Macaca fascicularis: one gene and its partners. The protein of the gene in region 3 purifies or fractionates together with the protein of the main gene of each other region. This does not show direct contact. Links are inferred from orthologs where the notes say so. Each region holds a gene or a part of one and is shown on either strand. Other genes may lie near its edges.

Region 1 (4,255 bases), on a different chromosome or scaffold from region 3:
CATGGTAGTCTGGTACTTCATTAACACTCACTGGCTTTTCATCTTCTAATACAATTGACATGTCCATAGTATGTGGTGACTCTGGGACAATTAAAAAGATATGATTAAATTAATTGTTTGTCTACTTAGTTTAATAGCTAAAAATGACTGCCCTTGTAAGGAATTTCATATTAACAAAGCACTTATTTCATCAAACTAAAAAGAGCTTCTCATGACGAAAAAGGTAGAATATTTTACCTTAGTCTCAGTATCTCTGTACATATAGCTTTGGAATGATTTTAGTTAATGAAGGGGGAAAGAAAACCATATTAGTAGGCCCCTAACAGGAAAACGAGAATCAGGTATTATCTTAAAGTATCCATCTTCCACAACAGAAAGGAGCAGATGGCATGGTGGTTCTGTTAGGACAGAACATTTAAAATCCAAGTTTTGAGATAATATCTAAGATTTGCCCTAAGAGAGACTGCAGATCCCAGAGTCTGACATATACAAAGCCCAATTAGGCGATAGCTAGAATCAGTTAAATGGCCTCCATTAACAAGTGTTATTAAGAAATTAGGTTTGTTATGGGCAAATGGATTAACACTATAAATTTATTTTTTGTAGTATAAATTATCTTTTGAAGCAAAGAGTATCATCCATTATTCTTTTCGCTTCAAAGATCACCTTGAGATTAAACATTTTCTGCAAAATTTTGATAAAAACACACAAATTATTATTTCCAAAGGACTTTTCCTGCTCACCCCTCCTTCCCCACGATCTATACAACTAAAACTAAAATGAGACTGGATTTAGTGAGCTGTCCAGTGACTCGATATCCCTAGGGCAAAGAAACAGTACAAACTGCAAAGAGCTGTTTGCAGCAGCTACTTTAATACATGGGTAAGAGTAAACAGCCATGGTACAACTGTTTACTTGTAGGAGGAAAAGTGTCACCTTCTGGTATCAGATGATAATCCAGACTGGTTTTATAGAAACAAAATTATAAAACTGGAAGAGATGTTATGTAATCACAATATTTAAGACTGCATCTTCAAATAGCACTCTCTAAGTGATATATAAGTGAGTTAAATAAAACTGAAATCTATTCTCCCAACCAAGAACACATTTATGGGATCAGATTAAAATAAGCATTTAAGATCTAATTATAATTAGACTGATGTGACTGGCAGTGAACCTGAAAGAGCACTAGGTTAGGATCCTTTTGTACATCACCAGGTCGAGTGTTAGCTGTGAGATCTGAGATAAGTCACATCCTTTCTAAGCCTTGTTACATTAAACCTAACTCACTGTAATCAAAATGACTACATAAGACATCTTAAAATGCAAATCATTAATATCTAATAATTATAATTACCGTAAATTCATATAGATTTTCCTTAAAACTTACCAAAACTACCATCCATTGGATAATCAAGAGGGACCAATGGTTTTCTGGGTCCAGGTAAACTAATGGCTGAATTAAAAGCCAGGGCATCTTCACGCTCCGTTTTTTGAGATTCAGCTGGCTTCTTCTGAGTCTCTTTTTCTGCTTCATCCACATGAATGGTGAACGCAGGCTGTTTACTGTTTGCTTTCCAAGGAGGAACGGTGACATGCTCATCATTTACAGGAAGATCCTTAAGGGGTGCAACCTAAACAAAAATAAATAACTGGCTTTGAGCCTACTAAATAGTTTTGCATTCTTTCTCTTATGGGTGTTGGCCTTTGCTTTTTCTCCCAAATACTCTATCAGGAATTAAACTTTCTGGGACAAACAATAGTTTGAGTATTCAAAAGAGAAGGGATGTTCCCATTTGTCACAGGCATTCCCACAAAGGCTATCAATAGATAACACTAGGTGGAATTATGCAAAACTAATCAGGGCCACAAGAAGGGTCGGGTGGCAAGTCAATACATGACAAGTTTAGGAAAGACATGGCAAAAAAGTGTTGGTTCACCACTGTCGCCCGAGGGTGGAGCAACAGAGCAAATCCGGCTAAAATGGCGGAATTTGCCAAAAGCAAAGTTATTTCGTACACCCTTTTCTAAAGTAGAGGTTATCTCTTAACCATGAGGAGGAGGGGGGTCAGAGTCCTACAGTAGTGCCTGGGGTTTAAAAGTGGAGAGAAAGGCGCGGAGCTGAGCGAAGACTACACGTTTTAGAGCTTGGTTTGACCCCATTATGTACAGGCAGATGCCACCTATAGAGAGCAGACAGGCAGCATACACAGTGTTGGCGGGGTCCTGATGCTAATAATGGGAGAATTCCTATTGTGGCATCCCACACACCAGCACCAAGTGGACTCCAGACTCTGGCCCCCTTCCAAAAGCCCAGGACATGCCTTCTCGCCACTCTTCTCTGCCTGCTAAGCCAGTGCCAAACCCTGCTCGACCCACCCTCCTGCAGACATCCCGCATCCCTTTACCCGTCGCGTCTTCGGCCTCTGCTGCTGCGCTAGACCCCGCGGGTTCCCGGCCTTCAGTACCGCCAGCGCGGCCCGGGTCCGCGGTTGCTGGACGGGCGCTGCCTTTTCCGGGTTGATATTCTCCTGGTCCTCTTGGAGCGCAGTCTGCTGCAATGCTAGTAGCGCTGAGCCCGCCTCGCGGGTCGCAGGCCCCGGCGCGGAGTTGCCCAACATCACTGCTCCCGGGAGTGGACGGCGGGATCAGCCTGCGGCGCCAAGCAGCGTGCACTCTGCCCAGCCCACCCGGCCAAAGAACAGTCGTAGCCGCCGGTCGCAGCCCAGGCCAGCCTACCCGCCCGCCCGCTCACCCAGCTCGAGACCACGCAGGGTCGAGGAGGTTGCGAAAGGCGCAGGAAGGCACGGCCGGGCGTGGCGGGCCAAAGACACCCCGAGATGTAGCGAGCAGCCCGCCGGAGCGGCGGCTGTTCTTGCAGTTCAAGTATCCCGCGACTATTGAAATGGACCAATGAAAGCGCTCGCGGCCTTGACGTCATTCGAGGCGACAGGGTCGCAAGCGAATGAAGGAAGCACCAAAGGACTCTGAGCAGGGGCGGGGCAGGAGGGAGAAACGAACTGGGGCTGGGGCGGGAGAAAACGCCTGCGCGGGTCGGGGAGAGCTAGGGGTACTCAGGGCCCGAGCTTCCGATTACTTTGAGCCACCTAGAGAGCGAGGCGGTCCAAAGGCTGACTCTAAGCCTTTTAGGGAATTAAGCGGAATTAAACTTTGGCGACTATCATTTGGGCTGCCCAGCCTTTAGCTCTGGGACCTCTAGTTAGCTCAAGTGACTTTTTCCCAAGGTCTAAAATCTGGACCACGTTTTTCAGTATCTCCGATTCTCCGTTTTCTTATTTGTTAATAGGGACTAATAACTACAGTCAAACGGTTATTAGGATTAAATAATGTGCATAAATTAACACGGAGCTCACATAGTAAGTAATACAGTACTCAAGTGTCAGACTGTAGTAATATCTTAACATTTAGGCATTTATTCATAGTAACCAGAAATTGTGTTTTATGCTTTTTATTTTTCCTAATGAAGATGCAATTAAGTGCCACCTTGAACTACTGTTGATATATATATAATAAATATACAATGCATTACAAAATATTCAAATAGAGTCATTAATTTTTATCTATTTTTCCCCAAGCTGTGGCAGCCAACAAAAAATACAATGACATTCTAGTGACCTAGATAAATTATGTTCCTTTCAGAAGTAAAGTTTCTTTAAATATAGTAAAAACAATATGATCTTATTAAAATAAAATTCTCTTAACTATATATGTGCCTGTAACAAATTTTAATATTTATATACAAAGCTTGCACGTACCTAGTAAGTATAATAGCATATCATTAAGAAGCATTGTTTTCTAAAAAATTAGTGAGTCTGCCCTTCTTGAAACAAAGCTTATTTTCCATTATCTTTATGCCATTTTAAGACGTTTCAATATTTCTTTGAAATTAATAAATATGAATTAAGATTAATGTACAAAACTTCTGTAGCCTTAATGTCATATATGATAAAAAGAGATCATACTGGTATAGGAAAATCTAAGATGGCATCACTATTTCTGCACTCTTCACTTGTAGCATGCTTGAATAGCTCCACTGGTTACAGCATGTCTAGTTAAGATCCCCCGACTCTGTGTAAGCTCTTATTTCCCTGACTACAATTTATAGCACTGAGCCAAGTCCAGCATTTCCACAAACTGCAGCAGAGTCATAAAACATCACCAAGCAAAAGGAAAATCAGTTGCAAATCAATCCTATCTCCTAGAAAAAATAATTGGTAGGTTACTTCCACTAGCT
Region 2 (3,814 bases), on a different chromosome or scaffold from region 3:
GTCCTGGACTGCACAGACTTCCCACTCCAGACCATCCAGGCCTGGTTCCCAAGACCTGATCCTTCCCCTACGACCAGACAGTCCACAACTGCCCCGCTCCAGCCCATTTTCTGCTGTGAAACCCCAGCCAGCCACACCAGACTCTGGAACCCTCTTCTGACCACCCTAATTCTTGGACACCTATCCCAGGCCAACCAGAACACCCAACCCCAAACTGTACAGACTCTCCCACCCAAACCTCCCCAGACTCTGCACGAATGTCCTAGGCCCCCTCCCTAACTCTAACCAGACCCCGTCCCCCTAAGTCCCTTTGTCTTGACCCCCAAGTCTTCTTCAACCAGATAATCCTCGGCAACCCACCTCTCACCCTCCTCCTCTTCTCCTTCAAGACCCAGCTGAGCACCGGCTCTGATTCCCTACAGCCTTTCTCCCTGCCACCACTCCCTTACTCTTTCCCAGGCTCACTCTCCCAATAAATGTGCTAGAGCTCTGCCAACTGCTTTGTGTCTGGGCCAGGAAGGATGGACCGGAGCAGACACCAGTGTGGAGTTGGGGGATGTTTACTGGGGTGGGGGGACCTGGGAACATCACTGTCGTTCGTACATCTCTCGTAGGATCTTCATGCTTTCTGAGTAACGAAGCTGGTTCCGATGAGAGGCCTCCTTCCACCTGGGGAGGCAGAGGGAAGACTCAGCAGTTGCAAAAGGCCCTAGGAGGGGCAAGCAGGTTGGGGGACGCTCACCTCTGGCGGATGCGTTTCCAGCGCTGCATGTTGCGATAGATGAGTGTGGAGGGTGAGGGCTCGGGCTCAGAGGGCTGCATGGACAGAGAGGCCAGGTTGAGTAGACATTCCTGAGCCCCACCACATGTGTCCCATAACCCTGGGCCAGCCTGGCATACTCACCTCATCATCAGGGGTGCCCTGCATCTCAGGCTGCAGTGGGGATGGGATGCGGGATCTGCAGGCATCTCCAGGTGGCCCGGGGGGTGTGGGTGGCGGCAGCTTGTACACATCACGACTCTTGCTGTTGTTGACCTCTGAGCCCTGGGGACACAAGGGCCCCAAGCCAGGCCCAAGAGAGTCAAAGCAGAGGGGCTGGGAATCCACATTCATCCCTCCTGCCTTTCCCAGCAACAAATGGCATGAGGGGCTCACTAAGGGACTCAGACAGGAGGCATGTCTGAAGGGCAGACACCTCAACCAGCCAGGGGGTCAAGTCCGCCTGCCCCAGGGACCCCTGTCTTCTCCTATCCAGCCCAGAAACTCCATCTACACCTGTCAGCCCAGGGAGTCACGTCTGCCTGCCTCAGGGAATCCTGTCCACGGGGTCACATCTGTGCCACCTAGGAAGCTCTGTCCATTTTTGACAGCGTGAAGGGTCCTATATGTCTGTCCTGGGGACCCTTGTCTACCCTCCTGGGCCAGATGGCTTATAGACCCCCATCCGTTCCTGCCCAGCCCATCTGCTCCTCAAGGCCTGGTGGCCACTTCTGTCTGTACTAAGGACCCTTGTCTAGCCCCTCGGCTCTTGGGAACCCCTGATCTTGGAGATCCACATCTAACTGTCCAGGGTAACCCTGTTCCCTGTCCCCCAGGCCAGGTGGCTATGTATGTCTTCCCTAGGGACCTCGATCCACACCCCAGCCTAAGGGTGCACATCTGTGTGCCTGGCCTGATCCAGGATTCATGTGAGGGACCTGTGTCTGTCTACCCCTCTAGCTTAGGGGCAGGATCCTTTAAGCCTATCCACCCACTGCCCTGGCACCAGGCTGCTGGGCTGGGGTCCACTACCCATCCCACCTCCTCATCCTCAGGCAGCGGGGGCAGGGGTGAGCTGGGAGAGCATTCGCGCTCGCGCACAGAGGGGCTGTTTCGCATCCAGGCACGGCAGATCGGGTACAGTGGCGTGTTCTCGCTGAACTGGGCCAAGTCCACGCTGCGGTCGAACAGCTTGATCACATATGTGTCTGGGAGGGTGGGGATGGGAGGTGTGTGAGCATCCTCGCATAGGCCCTCAGCTCCTTGCCGACCCTCTAGGGCCACCGTCTACTCACTGGATCGCTGTGGCCCTCCCTCAGCCAGCCCGTCATCCATCTCCCTCCTCTTCTTCCTCCGCTGGTGGGGGAAGCGGGCAGATGGCCTGCGTAGGGAGAGGGAGTGTCAGGACTGGGGTAGGAGCTGAGAGCCTCTAGTCAGCTGGCTGGGACCCTGCCACCTTACCTTTTGCCAGTGGCTGCGATGGAGCAGTCCCTGTGGGGAAAGACAGTTGACCCTCAGACAAATGCCTGTGCAAAACCCTGCAGAGGGCACCCTGGGGATACTGGTATCAAACCTGAGATGCTCACATGAACCCCACTTGCCTCTTGGGCCTTTTGTCCCACCCATACCCGTGGGGGTCTAGGAGGCAAATGCGAGGGGACCTAAGCTCCTGCTGCAGGGTCTTTGTACAGGTGGAGTGGTCAGGACTTTGATGGAGGTAGTGCTGGGCTGAGCGGTCAGGGCTTGGATAAGGGAAGAAGTTACCAACCACAAACCCTCAGCTCCAAATCCAATCAGAAAAACTCACTTATTATGGGTGTCTGAGGGCGTTTTCCCAGCTTCCTCATCCAGACGCTCCCTAGAGGCAGAAGCGATCTCTCAGCTCAGGGTTCCAGGGCCCCAGAGAAGGGAGGCACCGAGCAGCCTCTCCATTAAGCACCTTCCTCCCCAAGTCAGCCTCTGGGGTCCCACCCAATCCACCCAAGATCAGAGGCCCCAACCTGCCAGGGTGCCTGGCCCTGTGACCCCACGCTGGCCTACCTGTCCATGTGACTCTTCTCCAGCAGACACTGCAAGACGGCATCCAGTTGGTTCCGGGCTTTGGCCATCTCCAGCTCTGGGGCAAGAGGGAACCCAGCAGGAGTCAGCTCCCAGGCCCCAGCTAAGTGGACAGCAGACTGGGTCAGGGAGGGGCATGCGTGCCATCTGCCCTGGCCAATCTCAGAGCCAGGCCCAGGCAGCCTGAAAGGGTGCAGCAGGCAGAGATGGCTGGAGTGATGCCAAGAGCTCTGAGTTCCAGAGCTGTCCCGCCCAATCGCACTGTGACAGGAGGCAAAGCCAATCACCTTACCTTATGAGCCTTTTGGGTTTTAAAAAAATGTGTTTTAATATGATATAAATTATATCATTATAAATTTTAATATGATATAATATATAAATATGATATAAATTTATGATATAAATTTTCTAATATGATATTAGAAAAAATTATATAGAGGTGGAGTCTCACGATATTGACCAGGCTGGTCTTGAACTCCTGGATTCCAGTGAGCCATCTAGGCTTCCCAAAGTGCTGGGATTACCGGTGTGGGCCACTGTGCCTGTCCCAGTGGCAAGGTTTAAATACCTATGTATTATACATGATAACTCACTGAATTATCACAATAACTCTTAGGGGTAGATGTGATTTTTTTTTCCTTGAGAAAGGATCTCATGATGTTGTCCAGACTGGTTTTGAACTCCTGGGCTCAAGTGATCCTGCTGTCTCAGCCTCCCAAATAGCTGGGGCTATAAGCACGTGCCATAGAGCCTGGCTCAGATAGATATTATTTTTATTCGTATTTTAAAAAGAATGAAACTGAGGCACAGAGATGTTAGGCCACATGCTCAAAGGCACACAGCAAAGAAATTGCAGAGCTGATTATTTGAACCCAGGCTGTCTGGTTCCAAAGCTGAAGTTATGAGACAGAGGCTCAACCTGAGTGCAGAATCTGGTTGAGGCAGTGGTATAACTTTATTTTAATTAATTAATGTATTTATGTTTTGTGAGACGGA
Region 3 (3,648 bases):
TTTTTTTGACAATAGAACATCTATGCTATTGATACATATAAGTGGGTTTGTAAGATAGTCTATGTGTAAATGTGAAAAATGAAGAATTTCCAGTTTTTCTCATTTTCATTTAGACCAGTAATGAATACAGTGAAGCCAAAGGACAGCTTCCATCCTTCCTCGCTTTTATAGGAAGAGGAAAGTTGTATCACTTCTTGAATAAAAAACGATTGTGAAGATGATCTTTTAGAAACAATGCCTTAAAAATTATTATTTTTGAATGTATCTGGTAGGGGATCCACAATAGTCTCATTTGGTTATAAAAATAAATTTTATGTATTCATGTATGTGTTTTGATTAGGTATAAAATTAGTGGCTGAATATCCATTCAAGCTTAATTTTGTATTTCTATCACTTTTCTAGATTTTGTGCAAGATTAAAAATATAAACAATAGGCCGGGCGTGGGGGCTCACGCCTGTAATCCCAGCACTTTGGGAGGCCGAGGTGGGCGGGTCATGAGGTCAGGAGATCGAGACCATCCTGGCTAACACATTGAAACCCAGTCTCTACTAAAAATACAAAAAATTAGCCGGGCATGGTGGTGGGTGCCTGTAGTCCCAGATACTTGGGAGGCTGAGGCAGGAGAATGGTGTGAACCTGGGAGGCGTAGCTTGTAGTGAGCCGAGATGGTGCCGTTGCACTCCAGCCTGGGTGACAGAGCAAGACTCCATCTCAAAAAAAATAAAAAAAACAACAACAATAATATTGTTTCCATTACTATGGCTATGTAACAAATTGCCTTAAGGCTTTGGGGCAGAAAACAATTTGTTTGGCTCACAGCTTCTGTAAGGAATTCAGGCTGGGGACAGTGTGGATGTCAAGTTTCTGCATCAAAATGACTGGTATCTCACCTGGAAGACTTGAACAACTAGGTACTGGCAGAGCTGGAGCTCATTGGGCATCTCTGTATGTTTGTTCCATGTGGTCTCACCAGCATGGTGATCCAGGGTAGCTAAATTCTTTCATGTTGGTTCAGTACTCCCAAGGTACATGTCCTAAGAGAGAGAACCAAGTGGAATCTATATTGCCTTGTATAATCTTTAGTATTACATAGTTTCACTTCCACCTCTGCTGTTGATAGAGACAGTTAATCAATGTGAGAGATGCAGACCCTTGCCCAGGTCCAAGGTGAGGGAACCCTCTCTACCTCTCAGTGGAATAATGTCAATGTCACATTATAAGAAGAGCATATGGAACTGGGTACAGTGACTCAAACCTGTAATCCCAGCACTTTGGAAGGCCAAGGCAGATGGATCACTTGAGGCCAGGAGTTCAAGACCAGCTTGGGCAACATGGCAAAACCCTGTCTCTACAAAAAATACAAAAATTAGCCAGGTGTGGTGGCGCACGCCTGTAGTCCCAGCTACTTGGGAGGCTGAGGTAGGAGGATTGCTTGAACCTGGGAGGTGGAGGTTGCAGTGAGCCAAGATCGTGCCACTGTGCTCAAGCCTGGGTGACAGAGTGAGACTCCATCTCAAAAAAAAAAAAAGAGCATATGATATAGGGTCATCATTGAAAATAAGTTTCCCACAAAAATATAAACAACACTTTCAATTTAAATGTACTTTAAAAAATATTGAAATATATATATGTAGCTTATTAACTAAAAATCAATTTTCTCTTCTTTTACAGGGAAATGATCTTCATTGGTTAGCATGTGCCTTGTATGTGGCTTGCAGAAAATCTGTTCCAACTGTAAGCAAAGGGACAGTGGAAGGAAACTATGTATCTTTAACTAGAATCCTGAAATGTTCAGAGCAGAGGTAACTATGTTAGAGTTTGAGAAGTAGAGTATGGCTAATGTAAGCTCATAAATCATAGCGATAGTAAGAATTATGTCTGTTCATCATTTTCTGAGCATTTGTACCTGTGGACTGGTGAAATTAGATGCTAAAACTAGCATCTAATGATTTTCCTTTATTTGTATCAAAGTTAGTATCCCTTATATTTTACTTCTTTGGTGAAAATATTTAAATTTTAATGTATTAGGCACTTGTATGGAAGAATTTATTCTTAAAGGTTAGGACATTGTGTAACATTGGGAGAAATGAAGGATATTGAGAAACTTTAGGAGATACTCTAAGTTGAAAAGGCAAATAAAATATTATTTGCTATTATACTTAGAAATATGTGCACAGGACTTGTGGTCTTAATATAAATAGAATGAGTATTTCTCAGTTTCCTGTTTGGAGGATAAATGACATGATTATAATCCATTTTAGAAAGGGTCAAATATGTTTAAAAGAAGAGGCAGAAATTGCTTTATCTGTTGTGTAATTAAATTGATTACATTTATTTTTTGTGCCTTTTAGGTGAATTTTCTTACATAGCTTATTAAAGATAAGTGGAAAAATGATGTTTAGCATTTTGGGGGAAATTGCGACTCAAAATTTATGGATTTAATGGTTTTAAAAAAATCACTTACTAAATAAAAAAATTAACTGGGTGTGGTTGTGCATACCTGCAGGCCTAGCTACTTGGGAGGCTGAAATGGGAGGATCACTTGAGCCCTGAATGTTGGAGCAGTACTGCACTCCAGCTTGGGCAACAGCAAGACCTTGTCTCCAAAACAAAAAACAAAAAAGGTTACTATTTAAATAATTAACAGGCTGGGCGCGGTGGCTCACGCCTGTAATCCCAGCATTTTTGGAGGTCGAGGTGTGTGGATCACTTGAGGTCAGGAATTGGAGACCAGCCTGGTCAACATGGTGAAAGCCCGTCTCAACTAAAAAAAACGAAAATTAACTGAGTGTGGTGGCGTGCGCCTGTAATCTTAGCTACTCAGGAAGCTGAGGCAGGAAAATCACTTGTGCCCGGTAGGCAGAGGTTGCAGTGAGCCTAGATCATTGCACTATTGTACTCCAGCCTGGGTGACAAGAGTGAGACTCCATCTCAAATAAAATAAAATAATTCACAATGTCATGTTTTAGCTGACGTTGTCAATTTTAGTAATCTTTTTTTAACCTTTAACTCCATCCTGAGTTACATTGGCCAAAGAATCAGTATCCAGAATTATATAAGGAACTACTAACAGGGTTAATAAAATGAATAAAGAATATGACTTCACAAAGGTTATAATTTGTATAGCTAATAGATACAAGAAAAGATACTCAATGTCACTAATAAAGACTTTCAAAGTAGAAATATAACATTTCTTTTTTTTTTTTTTGAGGTGGAGTCTTGCTCTTTCACGCAGGCTGGAGTGCAGGGGCGTGATCTCAGCTCACTGCAATCTCCACCTCCCAGGTTCAAGCAATTCTCCTGCCTTGGCCTCCCAAGTAGCTGGGATTACAGGCACACGCCACCACACCTGGCTAATTTTTTGTATTTTTGGTAGAGACGGGGTTTCACCGTGTTGGCCAGGATGGTCTCCAACTCCCGACCTCAGGTGGTCCACCCGCCTTGGACTCCCAGAGTGCTGGGATTACAGGTGTGAGCCACCATGCCTGGCCAACATTTTATTCTTATTATTGGGAAAATTTGAAGTCTTTTATGCCAACTTTGGTCACTGTACAGGGAAACAGGAACTCTCTTTTTTTTTATTTTTCAATTCCCTTTTTTTTTTTTTTTTGAGATGGAGTCTCACTGTGCTGCCCAGGCTGGAGTGC

The links.
Region 1: the proteins of RBL2 (region 3) and CCNA2 purify together in Homo sapiens (affinity purification with mass spectrometry; 3 studies listed by BioGRID and IntAct, counting the BioPlex papers as one, with this or other methods). This does not show direct contact. The link is inferred for Macaca fascicularis from reciprocal best matches to the Homo sapiens genes RBL2 and CCNA2.
Region 2: the proteins of RBL2 (region 3) and LIN37 purify together in Homo sapiens (affinity purification with western blotting; 5 studies listed by BioGRID and IntAct, with this or other methods). This does not show direct contact. The link is inferred for Macaca fascicularis from reciprocal best matches to the Homo sapiens genes RBL2 and LIN37.

The regions. Positions count from the first base shown.
Region 1 is NC_088379.1:126,897,667-126,901,921, forward strand, and holds the start of CCNA2 (cyclin-A2), read right to left. Parts: upstream 2,860-4,255; 5' UTR 2,622-2,859; coding exon 2,409-2,621; intron 1,635-2,408; coding exon 1,391-1,634; intron 82-1,390; coding exon 1-81. UniProt on the Homo sapiens protein: Cyclin which controls both the G1/S and the G2/M transition phases of the cell cycle. Functions through the formation of specific serine/threonine protein kinase holoenzyme complexes with the cyclin-dependent protein kinases CDK1 or CDK2.
Region 2 is NC_088393.1:42,984,382-42,988,195, reverse strand, and holds the end of LIN37 (protein lin-37 homolog), read right to left. Parts: intron 2,922-3,814; coding exon 2,801-2,921; intron 2,619-2,800; coding exon 2,568-2,618; intron 2,252-2,567; coding exon 2,222-2,251; intron 2,142-2,221; coding exon 2,056-2,141; intron 1,969-2,055; coding exon 1,802-1,968; intron 1,046-1,801; coding exon 905-1,045; intron 817-904; coding exon 743-816; intron 670-742; coding exon 588-669; 3' UTR 545-587; downstream 1-544.
Region 3 is NC_088394.1:49,426,535-49,430,182, forward strand, and holds part of RBL2 (retinoblastoma-like protein 2), read left to right. Parts: intron 1-1,672; coding exon 1,673-1,803; intron 1,804-3,648. UniProt on the Homo sapiens protein: Key regulator of entry into cell division. Directly involved in heterochromatin formation by maintaining overall chromatin structure and, in particular, that of constitutive heterochromatin by stabilizing histone methylation.